3 linked regions of the Drosophila melanogaster genome follow. The gene in region 1 interacts genetically with each later gene. Each region holds a gene or a part of one and is shown on either strand. Other genes may lie near its edges.

Evidence for each region. A genetic interaction does not mean that the proteins touch.
Region 2: of Vang (region 1) and Rab23, changing one enhances a phenotype caused by changing the other (phenotypic enhancement), as found in Drosophila melanogaster (one study listed by BioGRID).
Region 3: of Vang (region 1) and kermit, changing one suppresses a phenotype caused by changing the other (phenotypic suppression), as found in Drosophila melanogaster (one study listed by BioGRID).

What each region holds. Positions count from the first base shown.
Region 1 is NT_033778.4:9,100,806-9,108,299, reverse strand, and holds Vang (Van gogh), read right to left. Parts: upstream 5,063-7,494; 5' UTR 4,725-5,062; coding exon 4,484-4,724; intron 4,417-4,483; coding exon 2,912-4,416; coding exon of another isoform or gene 2,831-2,911; 3' UTR 1,504-2,830; downstream 1-1,503. Other genes in the region: Pgm2a (phosphoglucomutase 2a), read left to right, coding at 1-902; CG8777 (uncharacterized protein), read right to left, coding at 5,181-5,343, 5,403-5,590, 5,650-5,824, 5,885-6,316, 6,375-7,163, 7,223-7,407, 7,464-7,494.
Region 2 is NT_033777.3:5,678,861-5,688,349, forward strand, and holds Rab23 (Rab23), read right to left. Parts: upstream 6,575-9,489; 5' UTR 6,538-6,574; intron 4,128-6,537; 5' UTR 3,882-4,127; coding exon 3,762-3,881; intron 3,058-3,761; coding exon 2,371-3,057; 3' UTR 1,194-2,370; downstream 1-1,193. Other genes in the region: plx (pollux), read left to right, coding at 8,390-8,509.
Region 3 is NT_033778.4:8,152,962-8,159,432, forward strand, and holds the start of kermit (kermit), read right to left. Parts: upstream 3,694-6,471; 5' UTR 3,453-3,693; exon of another isoform or gene 3,094-3,452; intron 1-3,093.

The DNA.
Region 1 (7,494 bases):
TAATTTTAGCCAACGATCCGGATGCCGACCGCCTGGCAGTTGCCGAAGTACGCGAGGATGGTAGCTATAAGCTGTTCAGCGGCAACGAAGTGGGCGCTCTTTTGGGCTGGTGGTCTCTGGAGCTGCACAAAATGCGAGAACCCGACTGCGATGTTAGTAACTGTGTGATGATAGCCAGTACGGTGAGCTCAAAGATTCTCAGGGCCATGGCCGAGCGGGAAGGCTTCCAGTTCTTCGAAACGCTGACTGGATTCAAGTGGATGGGTAACAAGGCAATCGAGCTACAGCAGGCGGGAAAAACTGTGTTGTTTGCCTTCGAAGAGGCGATCGGCTTCATGGTCGGCACCACCGTACTTGACAAGGATGGTGTCAGCGCGGCTGGCCATTTGGCCACTATGGCGTGCTATCTTCGGTGCAAGCTGTGCATGACACTGCAGGAGAAACTGCGCGACATCTACGAAACATATGGGTTCCACACGACTGTCAGCTCCTATGTCATATGCCGTTGCCCGCCGGTCATCGAGCAGATCTTTGAGCGCTTGCGCACCTGGGACGAGGGCAAGGCAGACACCTATCCGACCAGCATCCTTAACGGCGAGTACGAGATTGAAAACGTTCGCGATTTAACCACGGGATTCGACAGTAGCACTGGCGACAAGAAGGCCACCTTGCCGACCAGCTCCAGTTCCCAAATGATCACATTTACCTTCAAAAACGGACTCGTGGTCACTCTACGCACCAGCGGCACGGAGCCCAAGATGAAGTACTACGCCGAAATGTGTGGCAAGCCGGACGAGAAAAACTGGGCCAAGCTGACTAATACAATGAATACCATGGTGGAGGCCATTGTCGAGGAATTCTACGAGCCAAGCAAGAACGGCCTCCAGCGCAGGAAGGAATAATCCGAATGCACCTTTAAGCGGATACGCTAGGCGACTGGGACGAAAGATCTAACACGTAGACCTGTCTAAAATTGAAAGTTCTATACCAACAGCACTGACGACGCACAAGCCAAAAAACAACAGCAGCGCAAGCTGTTGCCTATTATTGTTTAAAGGATATCTGATATGTTAGTATTCCACTCACATTTGGCTAGTATTTATGAAATAATGTAAATAAAAGCGAACGCACCATCCACCACCAGGCACCAAATCATGGGTTTCCTCAGTTTGATATTTAAGTAGCTTATGAAATGAGACCATCGTGCTCACTCCACTTGAATTAATTGAGCTTATTACTCTTATCATAGAAATTCGAGAGGCATTCGAGTCTTTGTATCACAAAGAACTTGAAACTTGATTGATTGCGATTAAATCTACTCATACATTATACTTCAGTGCGATTTGGTAAACCTGCTGGGCTCAATAATCAATATAGGAACTGTTTGTTAATCCCGAGCTGATAAGGCAACTTTCAGACATTCAAAAGACCCCCAAGAATGAATTAATTACGTGCGCATTTCCACGATTTGCGTCACCTTCGAGATAGAACAATTCGTTTAAAGCTGTTAAAGAAGTGGGTTTGATTTATTTACGCATTTTGTTTTTTATGCTAGTTACAATTACAACAGTTACAGTTTGAGAGTAAATGTATGTATAAATGGTATGTATGCTTAGGTTGGTTTTCCAATTGCTTTAAGTAATTGCTAGATAATTGCAATATAAAAGAGCTTCGACAGAAGACATTTAGCTAGAAAACGAAAATGAAATCAAACCTCAAGCAAACGTTTCTAAGTAGTTTTGTAAATAGGTATATATCATATATGTATGTATATATAGATTGGGTTCACTGGAACGTACACATGTTCGAATACGAATTCGGGTCCTTATCACTATAATTTTGTCTCTAAAAATACACGAGTTTTTGTATATATGTGGTTGCTATGCACAGGCTAGTACATACACCTGCTAGTGGCTGTTGGCAATTTGTGTGTATAAAATGCATATTCAGGCAGTCTTCGCTTATATTATGTATTTGTCATCAGTTGCATTCGAGTTATAGTTGTTTCGTCGTTTCTCAACTTTGTGGCAGAAGAGTTAGGACCATTCGGTTTCGGCTTAAAATGTGCGTATGTAAAATCTTATTAAGTCGCGTCAAAAGTGGCCAATGCACTTTCGACGCAAGTCCGAGTCCTAGCTAAAATTCCATGGGCTTGCCTTGGCTCACTCCATTCCTTCTTAAGGCTAGCGATCGGGCTCACGCCTCACAGATATCGGGTAAAATTTTAGATATTCCGCGAAGAGTAAGCCCAACTTTACACTAAACATATTTACTAAAATAAAAATCGTGTATAAAAGAGCTGCATTTAAGAGTTGATATCTGAAGATCGCGGTTCGGCAAGCCAAACCATCATTCTTATAATTAATACTTTGGGAACTTGTAAGTCATGTTTGCTTATCAAAGGGTGTGATATGTTCGCGTCGGTTTAGGATGATACACTGGGCTTTTGAGCATTGTTTCTTGATATTCGGGTCATAAGTTCAAGTTTAGCACTGATAAGTACGTTGCCTTCTCATCTAATAATCATTTGTTACAAGATCAAAATTTAGCTGCTGAGGCCTGCCTAGACATTTTGTTCTCACAACAACTTTTCCTTTCTAAACTTCCATGTTTTTTTCTTTTTTTTTTTAAATTCAGGGTTTTGATCGATTTAAAAATGCTCCTCTTGTTCATTGATAAGTAATTTTGATTGCTTGGTTTGATTGGTTGTGGTGTTTCAGGCATATATAAAAATGAATTCAATTACCCTGATGGCAGTTCTCACAAGAACGTCATCGATTTGGCTGAAGTAAAGAAAATATGTGAATATGTGAATTAGTAGCTGGGAAAATCAGACAAACACATGCAAGTAGGACGATTGCGTCTGGTTGCTATGAGTGGGAGTGTTGATTGGAGGGGCGTTGTGGTGGTGTCATACGGATGTTTCGGAGTTCAACTTAAGAACAAATTTGTTGCTTTTGGGATCCACAACCTCCTCGGCCAGGTTGAAGTGCGGCAGCTTGTGTACGGTTACCATTAGGGAGACATCGTTCTGAATTAACTGGAACGTGCATTCGTTGCCAATTGGCCGAGAGACGATCTCGTCGCAGATCAGGGACCAAGACTGCACCCAGCGTCGCTCCTTCTCGCTCTGCATCACCGGAGACTCGGTCAAGTAGGGTTCCAAGAAGGCGCGGGGCGACAGATCATGCTTTAGGCAGTGCGCCAGATGTTTCAGTATGCTCTCAAAGGTATGCCGCGGCTGCTGACGCGTAACCCGTAAGTATTTTTGCAGCGCCCTGGCCATCGAGGGAAAAACCGCCGAGGCAGCCTCCTGCGGATCGAGCGGCAGTGCCGGAGCCGGTTCGTTATGAATGCGTTTGATGTGGGTGAAGGCCTCCTCGGCGGCGGTTATAAGACGGGCACGCCGTTTCTTCACACGACGTTCGTACTCGTGCTCTTCGTAAAAGCGCTCGTTATGCGAGGAGTCTCGGCGCCGCGCGTTGGCTGCTAGAACTGCTCGACTCTGGCTTTGCTGTTGCGAATTGCTCACCCCATCCACTTCGTAGTACTTGAAACTGTTTGATATCTTGTTTCGCTGCGATTTGGAGACCGATATTGGGATGCGCTCCAGGTAAGGGTTAAATATGGGGAAATCCACGTAGTAGTGCTGTAGCACCCACACAGCCGCCCGTTGGATGCTCAGCTGACCCAACATGTAGGAGCGCGAAACGCCGTCCGGGGAGCGAATGATCTTGATGTAGTAGCAAGGCTGCTGGTGTCGCAGCTCTAGTAACACCACGGCCACATAGTGAATAAATAGAAGAGTGTCCACAAAATTGGTGGCATAGCCTACCAGTGACTTGTAGTCCACGGCATCGCCGCCCGTCTCCACAACGATTTTGGCCCCGTTTGTGACCTGCACGATGTAGAAGAGCCAGTAAGCAAACGTGCAGATGGTGACGAGAAGGAGGACGAGAGCGCGATATAGGAATATCCGTGGCATGGTGGCCGATGTACGTCGCATGAACACTGCCCACAGGCCGATGGCCAGAAGCAGCAGCCGGGCGGCCAGCGATACCAGTTGGCCCTTGCACTGCTCACTGCAGGCCAGCAGCTGGGTGCGAACAGTTTGCGTTATTTCCGGATGATCGAAGGCCGACGGAAAGAAGCCCACATACGGCATCACCACCATTGCCACTGGCGAAAAAAACGCTCCGCATCCCAGCAGGAAGTAGAAGCTCGACTCCACGTATCGGCGGCACGCAAAGCTGAAGCCCTTGTCGCTCTCACGATGCCACATGTTGTTTATGTCCTCCATTGAGATGCTTTGCTCCGAGGTATTCCCCGTGACGGCGGTAGTATTCTCGCCCCAGTTCTCGTCCTGCGGAAGGATTTGCACCTCGATGACTTCCTGGCCATCGTGGCTGCCGTCTCCTGGTGCCCAAATAATAAATGGGTCAATTGGTTTCCTTCCACCGATAGAGCCATTAAACAAACTCACCTGTCATATTAACGCTGGTCTGGTACGGTGCCATGTCGCCACGTTGAAATCCCTTGGCCGACTTCGAGGAGTGTGTGCTGCGGTGGGAATGTCTGGAGCGGTCCCGCTCCCTGTGATAGCCGTTGTTGACACTGCCTCCTCCGCCACCACCTCCGCCGCCACCCCCTCCGCCGTTGTTGTTGTGATTCCGCGAGCGTCTGGAGCGTCCACTGTGTTCCGACTTGACGGATTCGTTTTCCATTGCAATTGGGCTAGCGCGCGAGAGCTATGCCCGATTCCGAATCTCCTGCTCGCGAAGAGACGTGCCCCAAATCACCTTGCAACCTGGCCGTGCAGCTATTTTAGTGTCTAACTGTAATTGCGGCGGCAGCAGGTTTTTCATACGCAGGTATGCAGGGCGCAGTGCATAGCCTATAGGCGATTTAGAGCTTTATCTGCGGCTAATTCTGCGGCACATTGTCACTATTCGTGTCTTGCATGGCTATTTCATACGCTATTTAACTATTTCTCGCACATTTTTCGCTTTTTATTCACTTTTTCGTGGACTTGGCTTCACCCCCGACGCAGTGTGACCACCGCAACACAATCAGCAGCACGGTCACATTGCATTTAGTGTTTTCAAACACTATCAGTTTGGCAATTCAACCGCCAAACTGATAGTTTAAATTTTAAAGTAAGTTTATTTTGTTGGACAATATCATGAATTTGCAATAATAGCGGAAAGTAATTGTCTGGCTCTCTGGTCAGTTGGGCTTAGCAGTATGGCGCGCTGCAACAACTTCATAGAACAGGTTTTGTCTACTGCACTAACCGCCTGACTGGCATATATAGTGGTCAGTGCCTCTTCGCTGGCCAAGATGCTAAATATAAACAAATTCAGTCTATCATAATACAATGTATATAAATTCCCAAGTCTTACCTATTTTGTTGCTTAGTGTGTCCCAGAGTAAGAGTTATTCGACCCATATTTGAAGTAGCCAGTCGATAGGATTGGTCATCAGAGAAATAATCAAGAAGAAACTTTAGCACGACACTTCGCAGACTTCGGGAATTGGGAAACATTCGTATGCGAGTCTGTAGATAGCACAACGCTCTTCGGGCACCCTCCTAAACAAAATCATAGTATTACTTTTGTAGAACCACAACATTCACCACTTTTAACGAACATTTATCAGGATGTAGTGAGCCGTTAAATAGGATATGTCGGCACAATACTCCTTCTTAAAGGCGTACGCATTCAGCTCCGTCAGTATCGTATGGATCAACGCATTATCTCTATGAAGTATACCTAGGGCAAGGGCTGAAAACAACGCCTGAATGGGGACCTCCTTCAACAAGACACTTTTGGTGATTATAACGTTAGAAATGTTGAATCAACAAAACAAATATTGCGCTACCAACCACTGATAGAGTAGGGTTTTGGTGTCCGCTTCGCCCTGAAAGTCGTAAATCATGGATGCCATAGCCACGAGGATGGTAGCTGCTTTGTCATCGCCATGATCAACCACGTTGCCGAGAACGGAGTTGTAAATAGAGTAGGATTCCTGCAACTGACCGGCTAGATAATATGCCTGGGCCAGGCCAATGATCGGCTTAAATGTGGCATGTGCAACCGTGTTTAGGGCGTGTGCCGCCTGCTCCGGCTGGTCTATTTTTAAGTACAGGTATCCCAGATTCGTGTAGAGCTTGTCACGATCCGCTCCAGGTTCGCACAACTTACACGCCCGAGTGAAGGCTTCGATTGCTTGGCGATACAGGTTTTTCCGGGCGTAGAGAAATCCCTGGAACGACAGCGATGCTGGTGTCGCATCCGTCTCCTCGTTTTGCACATACCTTAAATGTATTGCAAGTCTTTAGTTGGTTTTAGATAGGGCATTACTATAATACTTACCAATTGATGGCATCCAGCGCAAGCACATCAGCGTACATGTGTTCGATGGCATGCTTTATGCGCGGCTTGTCGAAAGATCCAGGAGTCGACAGCATTTCGCACACCCAATGCGCAAATCCAAGCGCCGCCTCCGGATGGTAATCGAACTGCTGGCAGTGACGAAACAGATCAAAGGCTTCCTCGCGATCGCCAATCAACTCCGCAACCATTGCTTGTCCAATCCAAGCGTTGGCGTACACGGGACTTGATTGCTGGGCTCTCGTAAAGGCCTCGTTGGCCAATCGGACTTCATTCAGTTTAATATAGAGAACTCCGAGATTGGTCCACGCTGTGTAGCACTTTTTTTCCAGCACTACAGCCTGAATAAAACAGTGCTGTGCCAATGGCAAGTTCTCATTTTCGGAGTTCATATTGATAACTCCGAGAAGATTCCAATTTTGCCATCTGTTGCTACACTCCTTAATGGCCATTTTGCACGCCTTAGTCGCCGTCTCTAAGTGGCCGTTTGCATCCTCGGGTATGAGAATGGCACTGTAGTAGCTGGCTAACGATAGCTCGTACCACAGGTACGTATTCTGCTTCAGTTTTAAGGCGCACAAGTAGAAGCGCTGAGCTAGCTGTAGAAGATCCTTGCGTGAAAGATATGCAATGGGTTCTTCGCGCTTGGCTAGGTTTCCAGCCACATCCAAGTTGGCCAACGAATGCGGCAACTGGGCTGTCTGAACGAAAATGTTAGCTGAGAGGCGCCATAGCCAAACCATTCCTTGAGCTTCACGCTGAAGGAAGGCGCTGTAAGGAATGGATAAAACTTATCAACAGATACACGAAATCGCTGGCTGAGCTAATACCTTTGAAGGTGTTCCAGAGCCAATTGGAAATGCGCTTTGGATCTTCCGTACAAGTTCTGGCTCTTCAAACTATTCGCAATGCCAATATGCGCTTCAGCAGCACCTCGAAGTCCGGGCAGGTAAGTAGGATTACGTTGTAGCAGCGTATCGTAATCTTCAATAGATTCAGTGTACATGCGTATTGTCTATTAAATGGGGTAAAAATTATTTATGTTTTCTTGTTAATTTTGGAATGTGGCACCGTTTTCACTGAAGCTATTTGAAGCAGGGCA
Region 2 (9,489 bases), on another chromosome or scaffold:
GGCTAAATCTTGTACTCTATGTAGGAACCGCATCAAAACCAACAACCAATACCCAAAAATTGAAAAATAAGCCTCAGGGCAGACACACAACACACACAATACAGTAGCCTCAAAAAACGACATCAGCCAGCAACAAAAACAGCAACGTGAAAGTTATATATAGTTAACTGATTTAAAGTTAACCAAGTGCGGAATATATATTCAAAAGAAAGTGAAAACAAATGTTCTAATGTCCGCATAATGAAATAATCTTATCAAATTTGAAAGCGGGATTTACCCCTTCAAATGCAAACACACCGAGACACAGACACAGCTAGGATTTTCAAAATCTTTATTTCAAATAAAAATAATGTACTTTAACAAATTTACCTTATAATCAAAATATTTACATCGGTAATTTTCGGTTTAAAGTTATAATTTGCTTCATTTAGTGCCAAGAAAATTATTTCCAAGTCACATTAGTTTCGTAGCGTGTAAAATTGAGATGAGGAACACAAGAAATCATATTTTTTATAGGCATTTTAAAAAGACTAGAACACAAAGAGTTTGCACACACACACACACAGAGACCCACCCTCACAAAACAAACAAAACACAACCCAAACACACAAAGAAACAAGAAACACAATCTTTTGGGCTCAGCCTGCGAAAAACACAGTTTTATGCTCAGCTTTTACCACTCTCTTCCCCTGACCCTCCAGAAATCGAACTTTCTACTCTCTCTCCTTGCCTATATCTAAGATATTTTGATTTTTCGACTTTGTGTAAATAAATAAGAATGGAAATTGACGAATAGTTATTTATGCCTTTATTAATACAAGGAAACACTTGAAAATTACAACAAAATAGATATATACACATTTAATGATTTATGCGTTGCGAAGCGATAGTTTTTCAACGCGCATTGTAAATATAAAGAAAGAAATATTATATATTTAAAATAGTTTAAACGATTTAAATGTGGAAACGTTTAAACGATGGTGTAACAGAAGCGGATCGCAAAATTGTCAAGCTTACAAAAAAAGTGTAAAATCAAAAATCAAATAAAAAATGGTAAACATTTCAAAACTACGACTGCTGTTTTAACCCATGACATCTTAACCCATTATGCTACTTTAATTTCGAACCCACTTCATCAAATTCCTGCCCGCTGACTTTCCAAAAGTGAATCCCAATTGCACAACAATCGACTTAATTTACATAAAATAATTTATTAAGTAAACATATTAATGGATCATTACATGCATAAATAGAATATTAATGGGCTTAGGGTTATTTATTATTTATTAGTTATTTCTAAACTCCTATTCGGCTTACATGTTACATGCTTCACGAGTTTCACTGTGCTCTATCTGCAGTTTTTTGCATAGAATGCGAGCAGCACTGGTCTACATGAATCGCGTCAAATTGCGCTCTGGCATGACTTGCAATTAGTTAATAATTATAAAAGCTGAATGTTTAATTGCACATTTGGCCAACGCGAATTGGCAAAGGGATTTCACATGGACCTGTGATCTGGGCTTGGTAGCGTGATAAATAGCCTTTTAATTCTGCTTGGTTAGGGAGCTAACCCCTATATACAAACATATTCGATATGAAAGCAAAGTTGCTTCAGTCTCCGTTATAGAAAAGCGGGCATAATACATACATACAAATTTGATTTCGTATCTATAACTAATTGTGGAAATTTTTGAGAAACTGCCAGTGCTCGTGCATATTGTCTATGGTTTCGAGAACTCATCATCTACCCGTGCAGATCGGGTGCTATGGTTTTGGTCTAATGGCTCGTGTGGCCAAGTGAGTATTGGGTCTGTATATACGTTCTATATATGGTAAATATAAACAGGAGTATTAAATAGTTGCAGTTAAAATAATACACCGAAAAGTTAGCTTATTCTATGGTGTCTTAAATGATTTGGGTGTTTCTTATAATTTTCGTGTTCAAGAACAATATCCGGCATAGAATTTAAATCTGTATATTAAAAATCGTAGTTTTAAAAACCAAAGATGAATACATTTTTGTGAGATATCGGAACCGGCCCGAAAGATGGTGAAAACTTTCCGTTGTGCAGTGTAAATCAAATATTTAGTTCCTCAGTTCGACCGCAAGGGTATCTCATCTTCGTGGGGATCCAGAAGATCCAATTTGCTGCCTCCGATTATTTTTTCTGTTCCGTAAGCATGTCTGAACCACATCACGCGGAGTCTGTGCACGACTAGTGAATGGCTGTGGTTGCATCCAACGGTTGGCTGGCCACCCGGCCACAACATCATTAGGCTCCAAAATAATTAGGCGTTAAATATGCTCCAGATATTAATTGCCAGCCGAGTCGCCCCTGCCGCCATCTAACCAGCTAATCCGACAACTCCTCACAATATTCCGCATTTCTTGAGCACTATCTTTCGCTTTCGGGCCACGCTGGAGCCATGGCCCTTCTTCGCCGGACGGAGGACGATGGTGCCGCTGCTGGACTTTGTGAAGGTCGGGCTGAAGGCGCTGATCGTGGGCGTGCTGCTGTAAGGCGGATGGCTGGAGTTTTGCTGGTTTCCGGCCACCTGGTCGTAGCTCTGGGTCATTAGCTGATGGCACTTGGTGGCCAGGTAGCGAAACACGGACGCCACGTTAATGTCCTCCTTGACGGAGGTGCGGATGAGCCGGCAGTTGAGGAGCTTGGCCAGCGTCTCCACCTCGTCGGCCGTAACCACCGCCTGTTCGATAAGATCGATCTTGTTCTGCACAATCACTGTGGGTATCTCGTTGCACTCGTTCTCCACCTTGCGCTTCCAATCCTTGATCGCGTCGAAGGATGCTCGATCCGTCGTCGAAAAGACCAGGACGGAAGCCTGGGCGCCGCGGTAGTACGCCTTTGTGATGCAGTCGAACTCCTCCTGGCCGGCGGTGTCCCACAGCATGATGCGCACATCCTCGCCGTCGATCTCGATCTGTCGCTCTAGGAAGTCCACTCCAATCGTTTTCTTGTAGTCCTTCGTGAAAATGCCTTTGCAATAGCGCTGGATCATTGATGACTTGCCAACGCCGCCATTTCCAACAATGACCTATGGAAAATACCAGAGTTGTTATTAGTTCATATTTCAAAACAAAAGTCTTACGTTATGTTTTGCTATTTCAATCATAAGCAAAAAAGCGTTTTGTTATTCACCAGAAGGAGAGAAAATTAACTGTTCACAATATTTATGTGCTTTCTACTGGACATTTAAAACGGTTAGCCATTTAAGTTAATTAAGCGCGTAAATGTCAATCAAATTTGGCTTGTCTGCAGAAAGACACATTCGGAAATAATCATATAAATCAATTTGAAACAATTCCAGAAAAACCATTAGAAACAACTTTATTTAGGGAGAGGAGAACCCTAATTGAACTAGAATCTTAATTCGTGCAGTTTCGCCATTAGCAACAGACATTTCCATCGGATTTTATCTTACAGGTGCCATTCACAACACTTGGCGAGGGAAAATTACACAGAAAGTTATTATTTAGAACTAGTTAGAAGTTTATAAAAATATATAGAAAAACTATTAGATGATCTGATGCTTTAACATATGGAAGTTGATTAATATACTAATATTGGAAAGAAGTCATTCCATTTTGGGATATGCAGAACTCTTCTTGATACGATATATAATCAATTGTATATGTGGGTTTGGTTTAATAGTAGCCATCTTTTTTTCTTGCAGTGCACTCATTTCAACCATTCATCATCCGAATGACAGAGATTCACGCAGCCGGCTGGGCAACTTACCACTTTAATGGCCAGCTCGATATCATCTTCACGCATGCTGGTGTAGTTGTACTGCGCCTGGGAGTGGGTCTGCAGAACGGACGCAGCAGCACCGCCGGTTGCCGTTTGGATTAGACGCATCTAAGCCGGCAGGTGGGCCGCCGCTCGCCCAGGTGTTTGATTGTGGCTCTGGCTCCAGCTCCAGCTCCAACTGCAGCTCCTGGCCAGGCAAATCGGTTGGAGGAGCACGAAATCTCAATCCGCCCAACGCAAGTGTGTTCAAATGTGTTTGTTTGGTTAGCCAAGTTTTCCGCAGCTTTTCACTTTTCCCCCAACTTTGTCTGAATCTCGTTTCACTTTCTACGCATTGATTTCACCAAATTCGATCTGTGGAAAAAGAGAAAAATCCAACTATTCAGCGACATCAGTTTTAACATACGGCAAGTGCTACAGTCAAACTTCGTTAGCTTGAACTAAAGAAATATGAAGTGAAAAAGCAAATTTGGGGGTTTTATTATTTGATTATATATTGGAACAACTATCCATCTATTTTTATAAACCTTTGTTTTCTGGAGATATCTTTGCTTTAAATTGAAAAGGCGCGAGAAGTTGTACCAATATTTCGACTCAAATTAATTTCCCTTCCCGAAGCTTGACTGTAAATGCAAAAGGTTTTCTTTCATTTCCACGTCAACCGGTTTTCAGCGCTGTGTTTCTCGCTTCTTTTGGCCAAGTCTGTTTTTCGTTTCCCCTGTTTTTCTTTCTTGTTTTTCTCTGTTTCTACCGACTGGCCCAGGGGCCACCGAATGCGGCTTCTAATAAGACGCAACACGAACGGCCGGGCACGCACGGTTATGTTGTTCAACAACAGGTGCTTCCACACACCTTACGCACAGGTAACAGGCGGTGGTCGGGCGGGGGGGGGGTGGGATTTTGGAGTTGGGCGGTGGTCTGGTGGTTAGGTGGGACGACAGGGGCCAGTGGATACTGGTCAGCAGAGAGATGGAGATGGAGCCCGCATGACATTAGTATTCGCATTAGCGCGTGCTTATGAATTCTTTGAAAATTGTGCTCTTTCTTCTGGCCTTTCCCCCGTTTACAGTTGCTTACTGCGGCTTCGTGGGCGGACGGCTGTGCGGCTAAGTGGGTTCGGAATATATATGGAGGGTAGATACAATATCTGACCAAACGGATGGGGCCCACTTGGTTACATTGTGTTCTAAAGGAGATATATTCGTTTCGTAAGCAAATTAGCTTGGTTTCAAGGTTCTCAAAATAGATCGGAAGCTTGGTGCTCGAAAAAACAATAACAAACCAATCATCAATTCGGGTTGGATTCATCTAAGCTTCGAAAGAAGCATTAGATATATGTATAGCCTACAGCGTTTCCCAATTTTCTCTCAGTTTTTCAATAATAAACGAACCTTTTTTGTGTAAAATGTGGCTGATATGAATGAATTTGCGTGAAATTCTCAAGATTTTATTGGCCTAAATATAGTGATCTGCCTTCGAAGGTTACAAATACAACAATTAATTAATTCCCAGCAGTCTTTTCTGAGCTCTTTCCACACAGTCGGCATTCCGCACTAGACGGACAGGTAACACAGGATTTGTGTTTTCCATTTTCTCCACCGATTCTTTCTTAACCCAAACCACCACCTTTAACCCACTGTGCAACCTTTCGCTCGTTCTAATTATGCCGCGACTTTTTTCCTACAGCTTCTTCTAAAAGGTTCATGCTATTTTCGTTGACTTTTTTGTAGTTCATTGTCATGATAATTAAGGCCACCGGTTATAGATTTAGTTCAATAGCCATGTGTACACTTAAAGATTTGTTCCACAAAAGAGAGCACCGATCCTCAGATTGTTCTAATCTTGAGCCTGTGAGCAACCATTTGTTTTCTGCACAGGCTGTGGAGTAAATTGCGAATGGAGCGCCGCGCTGCAATTATCTTTGGATTTGCCCAAGGAACTGATAGATCGGCGGCCGTTTTCTTGGCCATTGTTGTGGAATGTGGATTCTAACTTGTCCATTTAGGTTCACAACAGCACCAATACACCTGCACTCGGCCACATGCATGCATGCCGTGCACGGCTGCACACCCCTACACATGTGCACTTGTTGTGCTGCCGCTGCTGCTGCAGAGGAAAAACGGATTTTCCAGGCTTGCAAGTGTGTGTGTTCGTATGGGGAAAATTATGCAAATGCCGAGCGCTACTTAAATCAATTACGAGCGCGAATTCCTCATTATTTAAATCATGATTAAATAGTTACTCGCGCATTAACGGTACTCCGCACAGTGTCGCCCTCTGCTTCTTCTGTTTTTGTCTGTTTTTTTATCTCTTGCCATATTTTTCATGGCTCTTTTACTGCCTCTTCTCACTAAAATCAACTCAAAAGTCTACTGCGATTGTGTTTTCTGGGTGAGAAATAGACGAAAAGAAGTTTCGAGTGCGAAAACGCGAAGCTCGCATTCGAATCGCAGCTTGGGATCGCACAGAAAATCGTAAACACGTTCGCAGCGGAGCCCCTCTTCTACTTGGCCAAAACTACCAAGCAGATAAAACGGCTAAAGCAGCTAAATTGGAGCTAAAACAACGACGACAACGCGTGCGAAGCGCCTTAATTAAAGACGAACGTCGCCTGGGATCCCGATCTCTGAATTGACCCGCAGTGAAAGTCAACTTGCACACACGATATACACCATGGTTTATGGTTTTTGCCCCCGGCCGATTTTTTAGGGCGCCAAGTGGGAGAAATGCGCTGCACTGCGAACCGGAATGCCAAAAATCGCACCTGTTGCTCGTCGCGATCGAAATTTGAATGCCAAGCCTGGCTTGCTGCGAGCAGTGCGACCATGGCGTGCGCAAAGTAGTTTGACCAGCGTGGATGGTCACACCAGGCGAGCTTCGATGTGAACGGGTTTGCTTTTATTTTATCTGCACGTCTCCAATAATAATTTACGAGCGGAGAATGAAACATATATATACATCCTCCCATTTGACTTAAAGATTGGTTACAAAATAAATAAATAAGTAATAATTCATTGTCCAATGTGCATATAATATTTAGTTATTAAAGTAAGTACATACTATTATTGAGTGCTTTGAATAAACATGTACGTGAGAACACTTTGCATTTAAATTTTAAATTTGTAGCGCCTGTTATTTACCTCTACCGTCCCTTTGCAACACTGCTTCCCAGTGGCTGGCACTCGCAGAAGAAGAAGCACCTGGCAATCAGCTGTTCCAAACGACAAGACGCGCATTTGTTTGACTTTCAACGGCGGACTCGAAAAAGCGCAAATTGAAATGTGTTGCCGCAAGATTTGCGCACCAGTCTTGTAAGGGCCAATTGCGGCTATAATTTCATCGCCTTTGCTGACAACCCACTTGGCTGGCAGCACGCGCATGCTCGGCAATCGCGATTTATCGGCCGACAGGACGAAGGACGAGACGTAGAGAAATGCTAGGCATCGCGAATTGGAGAAGCGGCAGGAACTCGACTTTCAGTGCTCAGTGCTCAGCGGAATTTGGTGGCATTTCAACGTGTTTTCGGGCGCACCAATCGCCAAAATCAGTATTTATTGTTGCACGCCACCATCCGTGTGTGTGTGTGTGTCGCGTAACGGCGGGTGTGTGAGTGTGTGTGGCGAGGGGCGGCGAAAAGGTATTGGAAACCTTAGAAAGTAGAAAGTTAAAAGTGCCAAGTTAGTGCAAAAGTAAATTCCGACATTGGGGTGACTGCCGTCTCTTTTTTCGCAGTCTGTCTGCTGGTGGTGGCTCGTCCTCTTTCTCCGCCTCCTGCTCCTCCTCCTGCCTCTCAAGCCCATCCTCCGTGCCCCCATCTTCCCATTCTTTCTAAGGCAAAGAAAAATCACAGTGCACGCTCGATAAAGGGAACATGCCAACAGGAAAGTACGTGTTTTGAGAATCCTTACATTGCTGCCTTAATGGTACTGTGAATTTAAAGTTCTTACTAATATTACTACAGTATTGAAACTATCTTTCCTTTGAGAATCTAAATAACTACTTTTGCTTGCCAGTTAACTGTAGCGAGCGCGCACTGTGCATTTTTGTGAATGTGTGAGCCATGAATATGTGAAAAACAAAGACGGCACTGGCTGCGAATAAAAATCAATATTGATAGTAATTTCTCGGATGCTCTCTGCTCCTCCGCTCCTCGAGACCTTCCCACAGGAAGCGCAGTCAGGTGGTCATTGTCCGCTCCAGCGCCCCGGCTGCCCATGCTCCCATTTCCCATCTTTCCCATGTTCCCACTTGCCCATTTTCCGCACTATCCGGCTGCTTTGCCGCCCCCCTTTTTGGGGGTGATTCATTGGGCGCACGAAGTCAGAATTCCATCAGCGACGACTCCCTTCCGCCTGGGAATGTGGAAACGCGGTCGCCATTAAATATTGATTCGATCCTGGACTGCAGCACGCTACGTCAGGAAAACATATACAAAAACGATTAAAGAGCAATTTGCAAAGCGGCCAATAAAATGCAAAGTAAATAAATGGGCCGCAACTCAATTTGACCAGCAATTTTAACAGTTTATCGTTCGGCGAAAGTACACACGCATAAGCCACACTCGAAATTAAATCAAAGTCAATATTGCAACTGAAACAGAAACTGGAACAGTGAAGATGAAAACGCGCCTCGTCTCGCTGACTTTCCGCGGCAGTGCATCCGTGGATCCGCGCTATTCCGCCTCCATGCTGCCGTGGACCATTAACGATATCAGGTCCACGGAGAGCTACACGAAGGTAAATATTACATATATTATTATGAAACAAATAACTCTACATTGGCTTAGAAACTAATTGGGCTAATAGCTCCAGACCGAGCATTTTAATAAGAGGGGCTAAAACAATTTGACTTATAATAACAATTGATTGCTTGCTCTGGCAGTATTATTAAAAATTAAGCTTTATACCCAGACAAATTAAATTTAATTTAACAGCAATTAAGTCTATAAACATCATTAGCATGTCACCAATTCAAATACTTAACATTTGACTCCATATGAACTAAATTGAAATATTGGAATATTTTTAAGTATACCACTGCAATAATTAATTTTTTTTATTGGATTAGCAGTGCATTTAATTTCAAAGAATGCTCACTTGTAATCAAATTGATAAGACACTCAGAATAAAACACAGCCTGCATTGGCAATAGGTTTCAAAAGGAGTTCGAAATAATCAATTTCATAGATGAGCCATCGTGAAGATATTGAATTTGATTTCATTTAAGTCCCCTCCCACCCAAAAAAGCACATTTCTCGTTAATCCAATCAAACATGGAGTGCAGTACACAGATCGCACATGACAGCCATTCACCTCATACTTTAGCAGCCCTTTGGCGAAAACAATTAAAGGCAATTTGCCATTATTACGGCTGGGTAAATCAATTATGTGCCAAGTGAGATTCTGGCAAAATAGCGAACCGAATTTAATTAATAATTTTGTGTTCCATAAAGGATAATTACTGCGATTAGTGACCCATCGGCAGTCGCTCATCGGGTGCTTCGACCCTATAAATAGCACCCAGATAACCGATGACGAACGCAACGGAAAGAAACAACTGGGGGCCCAGTGGAGCCAAGTGGATGGACGCCCCCGCCGTCCGCAGGTGTAACCCAAACAGATTAAGCATACGCCGCGTTGAACACGTGCGACAACAAGTCGCCCGCCCGCCGTCCCCCGCCCCACGCAACCCTTTTTTCCCGGCCCCTTGGGTAATA
Region 3 (6,471 bases), 950 kb from region 1:
GCTAATATAAACAAGTATCCAATTTGCTATTTCCACAGATAATTCAGATGGACTGTGGGCGAAGCGAAAGCTTAAATGTCGCTTCGCCCTGCCCAATTATATGTTGGTATTATTTATGCACTGTTTTTGTGGCATTTTCCGATCACGTTTTCTGCGATTCCTGTGTTTCTCACTACATTATTCATAAATTGCTGACATTTTGCATTTGGCATGGTCCCGAACCAGAGTCGTTGCTCCACGATTCGATGATCCAGTGCAATGAACTCGCAGCCCTGGCTGAAACATATCGAATGGCCCTTTATGGGGCATATTCCACAAAAACTACTAATGTGGAGCACTCAAAACACCCGGGCACCGACATTAGGGTCTAGTTAGCATAATGCACAGCCAAACAACAATGAGCACCACACGCAACGTCAAGTATGTATATACATATGTATCTAAGTATCTACGTATGGCGAAGGGAAAACATTGGGGCAGTTTTGAAAACATTTAACCGTTTCACCTCGCTGAACTGCGAGCTCGAAAAAGCAAATTAAGCAAACGAATTATAGCCGAAAAGCCGTGGCAATGTTTGTTTTGGGCCAAGTTTACGCCGCCCGACAATCTAAACTCAAATATGAATTTTATCTCTTTGTAACGTTTCTCCAAAATATGTTAATCCGAAGGCTGTATTGTTTTCATCAGTTCACAAATTACGGGTGATGAAATCGGAGCGGAAATTCGGGATAATTAAAACTGGAAGTGGCAAAAAAAAACAATAATTGTAGATATATGTACATAAGCGCCAGTTTTTGTATCTGATAAACAATAAAATCCGATCTTTCTATTACTTCTGATTGTAGGCAAAGACAAGTATTTAGTGTGCAAAAAGATTGATCGCTGTGCCCAATCATGTATTAATGATATGAAACGACTGAGGAACTGTGGATAATTAAAGCGGAGTAGAAACATCACGCAGATGGAAAACATGCAGATTCATTCACACCAGTTCCGAGTACATCTGATACTGATTGCAAAAACGTTAGTGCAGTAATATTGCACATGTGCGGCAATGAGTGCGCATAAAAAGCGCAAAGTACGGCCATAAAAAGCACAGTTAAACTGATTGCCAACTGTTGGCATGACGGAGCAGCCCGTGGCAGCCCTAGCTACCAGACCAGACCAGACCCACGATTCTTCAACCCATTATTCCCAGCCACCGCTCATCCCGCTCGGACCATGCCGCTCCAGCTTTTCATAAAGCGCCCCGTCGCATTGAAATGTCACGCAAGCAATTTACATAAATGGAGTTGCTTCCGCTTGGTGAGCTGGAGAACGGAGAGCGCGGAGCGGACACAGTGCATCGCATCCAGGCAGAAGAGGAAGCTATCTTGTGTATCTGACGGGGAGTATCTGCCTATCCGAGCGCTGCTCACGTACGAAAACAACTGTTAGCAAGTGGCGAATGGGCGGGTAAAAGGCAACAGCCGATAGCGGCGGAGCGGAAGCGGACGAAGGAATCGAATCGATCAAACAATTTCCGAGCTGCTCGTCTGCCGAAAATACACAGCGAGAAATATGCCAGAAATCATAACTCGTTAAACCTAGAGATACTTATCTGCCTCAGTTAAGTTCAACTTTGCTAGTTTCTTATCTAAGATTATAAGAGCAGATCGAAGATCTTCAAAGAAACACTTGTTTATTGCTCTGTATGAGCTTTAAGCTAGAGCATCTTCGATGGGTTTCCCACTGACCAACTTCACGGTTAGTTAACACCTTAATTTGCCTACAAATTGCTCAAGTTTGGAGTTTTGAGTTTCTTTGGTCATGGTTGCGTCTTTCGTTGCCCCTTTCTTTTCGGCGGCCAGCTGAGAAGTGCTTGGCCAGATGAAAACTGAGGAACGGAAAACTCAGTGCGTAGACCCACGTGCTGGCCGCATTAACTTCACAGTTTTGTAAGAGGGAAAACGGAAAAGCGGTAATAAATGCCCCGATGTGCGTGCTGGCTGCAAAACTGAAAAGGCGCTTTATTATCGCCACTTCGGCGAGGCATTTTGTAATGTCTAGGCTGGAAAAATCAATTCGGCCGTGAAACTTCAACGAAAACGAAAAGCATGCTGTTTGCACCCCCGAAGTGCAGCATATTTTTGCGACGACGCACAGAAGCCGGCACCCTGGGAAATCACATGGATTTGGAAAGTCCTAACCTCAACATAATAGCGGAAAATGAACTAGCGACTTGGGGCAGGCAATGGCCACAAAGCACGGAAATGCCCCTTTCAGCGTTTCAGTTTTCGGGGTGAGTTTCGGTCTATGAAATCACTTCCGCTTACGCTTTTTTCCTCTGACATACAGACAGTGGGTGTGGTGCCGAAACACTTGTCACGCCACAAAACCAATGATTAGCCGCCCAGCAGCTGCAAAAATCGATAAGGTCCGTGGGTCAACAGCGTTTTGGCCTGTCTTGCCGGTTTTAAATGCATCCAAGTTTTTAAAAATGCCTGGCTGAAAGTAAAACAACTTGAACCACGAATCTTTTCTTTCGTCTCATCAAATGTTGTTTATCGATATTATTATTTTATCGATCGCCTTTGATTTCCTTCAATTTCTACCCCGGTAACACCACCTTCCCCTGCACTACAGTCTGCTTTAGTTAACTAGTAATCCCAGCTTGGAAATTGAAATTCCTTGTTTTTTTGTGACGCATTGCCTGTTGCCAGGCGGTTGCATGTTGATTTGGCCCACCCTCCTCCTCTCACCACACGTCCTGATGACTAAGAACGATTTCGCTTTCCTCGCTGCCGAAGCGAAATTCAATACAAAAGATGGGAAAACGCGTGCCGCCGCCTTTCACTTTACTTGTTCGTCGGTTGGCGCAGAAAAGAGTCTGTTAGGCAAATGAATGGGCAACCGACTGAATGGATGCCAAAGATGCTCCACCACCGGGGCGGGGTGTTAACAATTCCCGAAAGACAATGCAGTGTGTTGTTACGGAGCATATATAGTATGCATAGTTATAGTATATACATAGAAGATACCACGCACCAGAGAGAGAGAGAAACCCGATCAGACCAATATAATGTCGAAAGTGACGGACGGTACGGAACGCACCTGCTAGGCGATGGGCGCTGTGCTGATGACGCGCTGCTGCAATTGCATATGTATATCAATTTGTTGATAATGATAGTGGTGGCTATGGCCCGGTTTTAGGTATCGCCGATTTCCAGACTTCCAGATCGTGGGCCCGAGGAAAGCGCCGCTAATGAGCGAGGAAAGCGGACTTCTTCGTACCGGACCAGTTGGATGTCGTCGTCGTCGCCTCGCACACTCGAAACAATTTGTTCTTCTTTTGCCCACCAACACGTTATTGAATCTCTTTCACTGCCAGCTAACTGGTTTTTTCAGTGCTCCGCCACTGCTCGCCAAATACACACACATTGACCACTTTCCAGGGTTCTCTTTTCACTCACTCTCGTGCTTTGATGTCGCGATTTTACCGATCTACCGCCTGGGCGTTCAAATTGAATTTCAACCACGACGTCGTCGCACAATTCCGCTAATTAAACTAGTCGTCTCGGTTAACTAACGCCCGGAAAATTGTGGCCGCGCTGCGCTCGAAAATTCGGACCTCGCGCTGTAGAAATGCAAGAATAACAACAACTGCGCCAGCTGAGCGCCAGCTGAGCGCCAGTGTGGCCAGCCACTCTGTTCGCGGTGGGGAAACATCGATGCCGCCATCGATGCTGACAATCGGCCTATTGAGTACTTGTGGCTTAACATTTTCGGTGAGTTTGAAATTTTGGCGGTTAAGGTGCACTTACCAGATTTAAAGGAACTTAAGTTTTCGTGACAAGTTTGTATAGCATTGACTAGCCTCCACTATTTTGGTTAAGAAAATATAAAACCAGCAACAATAAGACTAATTGTAGACGGATAAAAAATTAAAATCTTAATAAGGTCACTGTAATGAAAATGAAGAAATGAAATGAACACAAGAACAAATCAAACAAATGTGCTTATTTCCTGGGGTAAATATCTCATACTGCATTTGACTAATGATATATATTATACTTTCAATCAGCAGAATGGTAGTCTAAGAGAAAAAACTCTTGCACCCAATATTATGACATTCCTCGACCAAAAAATAACAATTTAGTTGATAAATATTTATACCCAAGACTTAAGCTTCAATTTAAAAATAATTTAACCTGAAGTTCAGCAGGTGGTTAAAATCGACTCCGTTTGATAATTTAATTTCATAAATACATATATTTGATACAATATATGTAATTACATTAGCTAAGTTTGGTGATTTAAAGCAACATGTATCTCATTTTATAGGACGAAATTCTTGGGTGGATAGGAATACAGTTCCTAAGCGGTTCCACCGAGTTGCTTGGAAAGTTGCGATCAATCCACTTCCTGAACATGGACACATTTTTGAAGGTCGAGGAAACGTTTGGCCTGCCGCAATCGACGCCCCAGGCCACGATCCCGACCTGGTGATATCTAGCGAAGATTGCGTCAGGGGAACAAACCAAGATGGACCCACCGTCACCAACGCAGACATCCTTGTCCTTCTGTCCGCTGACACATATGAGACTGGTGGCAAGCTGAAACCTGGTTTTCCTCAACATATTCTGGCAATCTCCTTTGTTTACTATGGGTAACTCGATTTGCTTTTGTATACTCGACATTTGAGAGTCGTTAAAAGAACGCTTTCCCCATCCGGAAATCACACAGTGTGTCTGCTCAATGGACGACCCTTGAAGAGGTAAGCAGATGGGCTGTATGTCATTTTTAAATGCAAATGTAGACTCCAGGTATAGACAACAACAGGTGGGCTGCCGTTAGTACAACCTCAGGGGCAATCAGGGAACCTCCTCCAAAGAACGAGGACAGGGACGGATTCTCCATCTGGTGTAGTAGGGGTAGAATGGATACAAGCTGCGTACAAACTCTGTGAACCTGTAGTGCACTTACTTGAGCTCTTATTTCACTTACTTGAGCCCTTATTTCACAACACACTTAAGTGGGTCCACAGAATACATTAGTCGGTCGATGCCAATCGCCGGTTTGGTGCACTCCCATCGTTGGCCAAACATCGTTTTGGATAATAACAGGCGTGGCCACAAACCAACCAGCTCAGGAGAAGCACTCCTATGGTCTAGTGGCACTCCATTGTCCGATTCAGAAGACTACTTGCCGAAGACTGATATTGCAATAAGTGGTCTCAGCAGGCTTTCTTATTACATTTCTTTTTTGCTGATAAGAATAAAAAAACATGCAACACGCTTTCCAAGAAATTGAAAATTGTAATCGAATTGTTTTATATTTTATATTCACACATATTTCTATTTGTTTATAACCCAATAGGCTGGAATACAAAAAGGTAATCAGTATATACATAGATAACATCCACTTTATTCGGACTTTAAATAAGTAGCGATATGAGTGTTTAGAGAAGCACCCCCAATCCAAATTGATAACCCAGAACGCCGCTCTCACGAAGGCCCATTAGCTCAGTTGGTTAGAGCGTCGTGCTAATAACGCGAAGGTCGCGGGTTCGATCCCCTCATGGGCCACTCTTCATTTTTTGCTTTTAGCCGGATAACTAGCCAAGTCGATCTAGGCATTCCAGTCTTCCTCACTTATCATCTAATCGATGTAGACGCCCGTTCACGTAGTGACGAAGCGCACCCTGAGAGCGTACGAAAGTACTCAGTGAGCATTCAGAACACAGTTTTCTAAAAAACAAATGTATAGAGACATCAATGTGCTCATTTAGCTAATGGGCATTATTATTGGTCTCATGTCAGGAATAGATCTTTAATCGCATTCAAATTGCATATCATTTCGACCAAAGATGTCTTATTAATACGAAATTCAGTAATCGCAAGATAGAAACTTACGCCCGAAGGTGCAAAAAGGTCAAAAGGTGCAATAGGCCATTTTGCTGCGAACTATACAAATGAAATATAATTTAATAATATAATTATTGGAAATATATTAGTTTACTAATTGATTACGAAATCCATTTTCCTTGAAACTCAATGTACAAAATGCAAGCATAATATAATTATTATAAATAGAATATTAGTTTTATTATGTTACAGTTTAATAATCATTCATATTGCATTAAAACACAATCCTATGTTTTGAAACATAAATCCCCTCAAAATATTTGCTTTCTACGTACTGATCCTAAAAATGTAACTCATAATCACGTATACGCAATGTTGTCTTGTATGTGCGTGCAGTGCAGTTTTAATGTTTAAAATTAGTTATTTATTAAAATGCAACTTCCGAAAAAGCATATCCATGTGGTGACTGGAATCTCCTACGAATCCAAAGGATCAGTTTAGGATTTTAAAATTCCGAGCCTTTGGCTAATCGATTATCTCCCAACTTAGCATGGAATTGAATCAACTAATTTTTTTAAAGAACTGACATCTGACCATTCCCATTACTGCATTTACTTTATCTTTA